2 linked regions of the Drosophila melanogaster genome follow. The gene in region 1 interacts genetically with each later gene. Each region holds a gene or a part of one and is shown in the gene's direction. Other genes may lie near its edges.

Region 1 (3,758 bases):
CAGCCATGTCGGTGGGGCACTCACCCGATTGTGCAGCTTTCATAACACTTGCATCGAAGGCGCTGCCGAAATACAGAGCCATAATGGGACCGTTCCAATGGCCAGTCTGGGTCGCTCTGATTTGCGTTTACCTCGGTGGAATATTTCCGATAGTTTTTACCGACCGTTTGACACTTAGCCATTTAATGGGTAATTGGGGTGAGGTAGAAAACATGTTCTGGTATGTATTTGGCATGTTCACAAACGCTTTCTCCTTCACCGGAAAATACTCGTGGAGCAACACGCGGAAAAATTCCACACGCCTTCTAATTGGAGCATATTGGCTCTTTACAATTATCATTACATCTTGCTACACAGGTTCCATCATAGCATTCGTAACGTTGCCAGCTTTTCCGGACACCGTTGACTCTGTGTTGGATCTGCTGGGATTGTTCTTTCGCGTTGGAACCCTGAGTAAGAAAAGGTTAGGCTCGCTACATTTGTATATAATATTTGGGCTTCTTACTTAAAGACAATGGTGGCTGGGAGACCTGGTTCCAGAACTCGACCCATATACCGACGTCTAGATTGTACAAGAAAATGGAGTTTGTCGGGTCCGTAGATGAGGGCATTGGCAACGTTACCCAGAGCTTCTTTTGGAACTATGCCTTTCTTGGCTCAAAGGCTCAGCTCGAATACCTGGTGCAGTCAAATTTTTCAGATGAGTAAGATCGATCCTTTATTTTTAATCTTCCCACCGTAAACGATATCCTCTTTTAGAAATATTTCCCGCCGATCGGCGCTTCATTTGAGTGAAGAGTGTTTTGCTCTTTTCCAAATAGGATTTCTGTTTCCCCGAGAGTCAGTGTATAAAATCAAAATCGACTCGATGATATTACTTGCCCAGCAAAGTGGTCTTATTGCAAAAATCAATAACGAGGTAAGCTGGGTCATGCAGCGATCATCTTCAGGACGCCTGCTCCAGGCAAGTTCTTCGAATTCCTTACGCGAAATAATTCAGGAAGAGCGCCAATTGACTACAGCGGACACAGAAGGAATGTTCCTGCTCATGGCACTGGGCTACTTTCTAGGAGCCACAGCCCTGGTATCCGAGATCGTCGGTGGGATTACCAACAAGTGCCGCCAAATAATCAAGCGCTCCCGCAAGTCGGCCGCCTCCTCTTGGTCGTCGGCGTCAAGTGGGTCAATGCTTCGCACTAATGCCGAGCAACTTTCCCATGATAAGCGAAAGGCCAATAGACGCGAGGCTGCTGAGGTTGCTCAAAAAATGAGTTTTGGAATGCGCGAGTTAAATCTTACCCGCGCAACGCTTCGGGAAATATACGGAAGCTACGGGGCACCTGAAACAGATCATGGTCAGCTAGACATCGTCCACACTGAGTTTCCAAACAGTTCTGCAAAATTAAATAATATTGAAGACGAAGAATCTCGGGAAGCTCTTGAATCTCTGCAGCGTTTAGACGAATTTATGGACCAGATGGATAACGACGGCAATCCTTCCTCACATACATTCCGTATTGACAATTAATCACAGAAATTTTTAAATGCAAATACAAAATAATCACTTTAGTGCACATGAAATTATATGTATTGAAATAAAAAGTTTGATGCAACAACAAATTTTACAGTTGTTTGGTATTTTGTATGGGAAAGTTTGTGGCAATATATGGTTTTACTTGAAAGCGGATTGGACATGGTCACACTGCCCACAAATCACAACATTGCGTTATAAATGAAGCACATCTAGTTTTGTGTTAAGAAAGTGGTTCACAATTTATATAGCAGGTTATGGTAAAACATCGATCGTTCCGAAAAATTCCGCTCGTTGGCACATTTTCTAAATTTTTCGTGCGACAGCGGTGATTATTATATGATATTATTATGATTATATATACAAAAATTATTATAATTATATAAAAGTTGGCGACCATATCAAAAAGGTTGCTATAAAAACAAATGGCAATTTATAGCGGAGTTTCACTCCCAAAGCGATGTTCTCCACCCATTCCAGTCAGTCATGGTAAATATACCTTCTAAAAAATATATGATTTTTTCGATAGAGATACACGGGCACACTAGACCCACCGATCGCGACTTTGTGTGTGTTAAAATGACGCGCATATCGTTTTGGGCTAATAATATTGTTCACGTTTTATAAAACAGATACACGGTTAAGCTCTGACCGGTCGTATTATTATCTGTGTGTTCTTGGTTGACACGTTTATTTCATTTATTCTCATTTAAAGCAACGATGTGAAGAACAGTGCGGGCGTTTCTCAACATAAGAATACATACAAACTTATGCGTGATGGTGAGCAAATAAAATAGTTCAAAAAATTACTCGGCCACCGCCTTAACCGTACAAACGGAAATACATAAAGGTAAAGGGCTCAACAACAGTATTACTGATTAGGCAATTGATTTATATTTCAAACTTCTTAAATAAAGTGTCCACAAATATGTATGTTCTTAGCATAGAGGCGTAGTCGGTGAGTCAGCCACGCCAACAGTTAACAGTCGTCATTTTGCTGTCTGTCTAACACGCAATTTGTGTGTGTATATGTGAATAAACAGATACCGGTATGCAATCGCAAAGCTGGTCAACTGTAAAGATCGGTATGTACTCAAAATTAGGTCATCACCTTGTTATGCAGATACATTTGGGAAACAGTTGACTTACTTGGTATTGGTTATCAGCCGAAAAGCAAATGGTGATACGGTTTTGCACCTCAGCTTACTCACGGATACATACCTACGTACATAAATGTATGTATACGGTATACAGTCTTAGAAAAAATATTAGTACCGACCAGCTAGCGTTTGCCTAAAACGCTTTTACAAAAATAAACGTATATGTTTTAAGTTGTTTTTTGTCCTAATTAATACATTTATTATTATTTATTTATGAATTTTAGAGCTTTAATAGTAACTAAATTGTTTAAACAAACTTTAAAAAAGATTTACAAATAAAAAAATATTTCGTGTGCGTGACGGAATTGCTAGTTCATTAAAGGGAGGTACATATGTACATACATACACATTGCAAAGAGTACAGATCGCTCATCATTTCATTTTTCCTAATGTACATATACATATGTACAAACATGTTTATTAAACTGCCTACATGCAAATCTTTGAAGTTTTAAGAAAATAAGCACAACTAGTTTGGAAAATCTTGGGAGCCAAGATCTATCTGTCCACTGATTTTCCTATGACTTCAAGAATGTAAAACCCTTTTTGTTAAACAAATTTTGATTAAAGTATACCAGAATAATATTAAACGTATCGTCCGTATCTATAAAAGGTATTAATAGTATTACCTAAATTTAAATTCTCGGTTTTATTCATAAGAGTGAAAAAATATACAAGTTCCTTTTTAATTTTTTACTTATTGAAAATTTGATTAATTTTTATTATTATTTTCAGTTTAGAATAAATTCGGCCACAATTAATATACTTATTTATTCATCAAAACCAAACCACCACAAGAGCATAACCAATCATGTTAAAGTTTATCAGAGGAAAAGGGCAGCAGCCCAGTGCTGACAGACAACGCTACATCGTAAGGTAAAACAAACAATTTTCTCTTTCCGTTCTATTTTTTTTTTTTTAAGTATTTGTAGCCGATTGGTATATTTTGTGGGGTCATTTATTTTGATCTTGGGTGGTAAATACATTTTTATGGAAGTTAGAAGAAAGCTTATAATTTATGAGGAATAAATAAATACCTCCTTTTGAATCTTTTGTTATGTCTTCTC
Region 2 (3,758 bases), on another chromosome or scaffold:
AAGTTACTAAAACTATCAAAACTTATGAAAAGTTTTTGTTCTAAGAAAGAGGATTCGATCGTCATAAGTCGCTATAAATTGAAAATATCTGTATATAATTAACATTGATAATACTATATATAATGATTGATAATAAAAAGAGGAAGGATTTAAAATTGGAATCAATTGGTGGCAATCAATTCGGGATTAGTAGATCAGGAACGAATGCGAAAATCGAAAACAATTGGGCACTTTAAAATGGCAATTAGCTTGGCCATTTGAAACGGGAAATGTTTTGCAAAACGAACGGTTAATGCAGGTGCAATTTACAGGGGGTAATCGCCTAATTACCGTTAGTCGTGCCTCACTGTATCTTCGTTTGTTTTGGGCTTCTAATTGGCAATTGGCAACTCGGGCTTTTTGGCCATGCTCGACTAACTAAGTGAGCCTCGTTTAACGGTCTTTTATTTATTTAGTTATTGCAGCTGCTTACTGAGTGCAAAAAAAATCCACTGAATATCAGTACCCTTTTCACACACACACACACGTACACATGGATTGAAAGGACCTGCAGCTTTTGTTGTTTCGACTTTTGCTTTATTTTATTGATTTTTAGCCAAGAATAAGAGGACAGGTTCAAAACACACAAACAAACACGCATACACCCGCACGCAGGAAAACACACCCCTGCTGGGTATGTGTATCCCTGAGCTACCAAAAAAAAGGAAAAAGGGAACAAAATATAATCAGACAATTGACTAGAAGACTTAAACAAACCTTTTTGGGTCGCAGCTTTCAAATTTGCGTGTATTCAATTTTTTTTTTTTTAGCAGTGATACTCCTTTAATTTACTGTTAGTAATGGCGCGCAAGTTTTTACCAACAACAACAACAATTCGACAACAACAGTGTTAGCCGCACGCCAAACACATTCACACACACAACACAAGCACGTTAAAAAAATGAGACCGCGCGAGTCGACCGCTATTCCCCACGAAATCCACGAACGTTATGTTTGCAGCCGTCGACGGTCGTTGAAATATGTCCGAAAAATCCCCACCGTTAAATGGGGAGCCTTATAAAATACCAAAAAGATACCAATCGTCAACCAATTCACCATAGACCCAAACCAACGTATGAAATTCAAACTGTATTTAAAAGTGTAAAAGGGATAGAAGCGGATAAGCAGGGCAACTGTTACTAACTTTAAGCTAGGCTTGTGAGTGGCCAAAGTTAATGAACAAATTAAGAGGACTAAATTCAAGGCGGTGCATTTAAAAATGTTACAAAATACTAAGAAAATACCAGTGGTATTGATAGCACCCTTGACTCAAACCATCAAATGTTTTGCTTGGCTATATGATTAAGAGGAAAGTTGGGGGAATGCCTCATTTGTACGTTTTATGAATAACGTAATACTAACTTACAACCAAAATACCTTTTAAGACTTAAAATAAAGTGTCACTTCTCATGTCTGAATCCCTCTGTGTAACAATCAATTTGAATTTCCGATATCCAATCATCGCTATAGCTTTGTATATAAATCTCGCGTAATTTTCATGCAAGTGTTTTAGAATATTTCAATTTGATCTGCAATTCGAAATTGACTGCAATAGTCAGCTAGTCATACGATACTTTTTATCGATATTACTCCACACCTAGATTCGCTGACAGTCCGCCTCTAATTTAATTTCGTTTGTGCACATTTTGTTTGAAAGACGCTTAAGATTATTGGGTTTTGTTTCATGTATTGTGCCCTTTGTGCTAAAAGGTAAGAATAACAAGATATATGTTTGTGATTCCGCCGATTCGTTGGGTCTTCCAGGTCTCGTGAGTTCGCGTCGCTGGTTGTTGATGTGCGTGTGCTGTTTTTTTTCCGTTTTTTTTTTGCGTTGTTGTGTTTGTGTGCGTGCGAGTGGAGGAGTGCAGCCGAAAACAACAACAAAACGGGACAGTAGAGTTCCTGGCATTTTGTGGTTGATGTTACCCTATTTTTACCGTTGCCTTCGCTTGCCATCAGCGGAACTTTACATTTTTTCACGGAGTTGTGAAGAAGTTGCCTGTTATTTGGTGTTGATGTCAAACCATTTTAACCGCTTACCTTGCAGTGCATCCGCCATTTTACGCAGAGATGTCGACCTATTTCGGGGTCTATATCCCGACCTCCAAAGCGGGCTGTTTTGAGGGATCGGTGTCGCAGTGCATCGGCTCCATAGCCGCGGTGAACATAAAGCCATCCAATCCGGCGTCTGGATCGGCATCAGTAGCATCGGGATCGCCATCCGGCTCGGCGGCATCCGTGCAAACGGGCAACGCAGACGATGGCAGTGCTGCCACCAAGTACGAGGATCCCGACTATCCACGTAAGTACGAACGAGATGAAGCGAGTGTCGGTATATGTGTGTGTTTTGCGTTCCAGTTATTTGCCGCTTGTTGCTATTGTGATACCCTGTAATCGGGGGTCATGCGCGAACGTTCGGTCGATTCGTTGATGGGTATTCGTGTGCTTTTGTTTTTAAACAATTGTGTCGTATGGAGCAAGTGGGAGGTTTTATGATTCATACACATACTTTTAAAACCAAATTTAAAAGTCGAGGGTTGAAGTTTCCAAGCAACAGGAATGTTCATGATCGGAATTGCATAGGTTTTGTTTTGAAACTAAACCTGAATTGCTTGACGAATTTCTGCAATAATGTTTGTTTTATAAGGGGTTGAAATTTTATTCCCATTTATGCAGAATATACCTGATCGAAATTTGTTCAGCATATGGATAACTCGTTCTTTCAAGTCGTTATTTTAATGAACCTAATAGTGCATATTACACATTTTTGGTAAATTAAGTGCTTAAATATTATTATATATGAAATGTATTAACTGGGATAAATTACATATAGGGTAATTCAACTGTTGCATTTTTATAAGTTTCGTTTTGCGCTGTTGTTCCTCCATGACTAACAGCCCATGAAGAAGTTTACATGTGTGTGTTCAAAACTTCTGAGATTCGAGAAAAAAGTCGGAATCGGGGCTTGCCCAGCTGTCCCGCTCGCACAGTCGATTTCCTTGTCTGGGAGCGGTCTTTCGATTTAATTGTAAACAAATGGTGAACGATGGCGATTACCTGTCTAATTAAATGCAACTCTCCTGCTCTCAGTCGTTCGCTCTTTAATCCAATTATATGCGATTCGAAAACAAAAAACCGATTGGGGCGAGTTCATTCCACTTCCACATCGACATCATCCAGTTCCCATTCCAGGCAATGCCCAAATTGGATGCATTACGAGGACCTTGACCTGTCAGCACCCACATTCTGCCATATTTATGTTCCAGCAGTCACACAGCTGCGGTCAAAATAATAGGTCCTTATATATATTTTTTTTTAACAAGAATAATTATGGGTTACTTAACAATTATCTTAATATTCTAAAATTCGGGGCAATATCACATAAGTAGTAAATATTTATATATTTATATTATTATTTCTTATGTACCTATTAAATTGCGATTTTTAGAAAGATCCCGAAACAGCAGTTGATAATAAAAACTATAAATTAGGTCGCAACTGTATATCACACAGAATTTCTCCAATTTGCTTCCTTTTCAAATTTATTTATACTGCGAGCTGCAGAACAACAAGTATCCCGAAAAAGTGTGTGCGTGTACTGTCAAGAATCCCCGGATCCTATATTTACATATATATATATGTTCATACGCCCAATTTTGCCGGCTTGTGTTATTGTGGGTTGTGCCTGTCCCTGTCCCTTTCACTTGGCCCTGTCCCTG

The links.
Region 2: of l(2)gl (region 1) and Ankle2, changing one suppresses a phenotype caused by changing the other (phenotypic suppression), as found in Drosophila melanogaster (one study listed by BioGRID).

What each region holds. Positions count from the first base shown.
Region 1 is NT_033779.5:19,689-23,446, reverse strand, and holds the start of l(2)gl (lethal (2) giant larvae), read left to right. Parts: upstream 1-2,070; 5' UTR 2,071-2,381; intron 2,382-2,473; 5' UTR 2,474-2,616; intron 2,617-3,426; exon of another isoform or gene 3,427-3,431; 5' UTR 3,432-3,502; coding exon of another isoform or gene 3,503-3,562; 5' UTR 3,563-3,567; intron 3,568-3,758. Other genes in the region: Ir21a (ionotropic receptor 21a), read left to right, coding at 1-453, 512-704, 760-1,528. UniProt on the Drosophila melanogaster protein: Essential for the development of polarized epithelia, for cell polarity associated with asymmetric cell division of neuroblasts during development, and for oocyte polarity formation.
Region 2 is NC_004354.4:17,577,096-17,580,853, reverse strand, and holds the start of Ankle2 (Ankle2), read left to right. Parts: upstream 1-1,624; 5' UTR 1,625-1,749; exon of another isoform or gene 1,750-2,086; 5' UTR 2,087-2,109; coding exon 2,110-2,341; intron 2,342-3,758. UniProt on the Drosophila melanogaster protein: Involved in brain development probably by regulating asymmetric division of neuroblasts. Regulates neuroblast asymmetric cell division by controlling asymmetric protein localization of Mira, Baz, Par-6 and aPKC, and spindle alignment.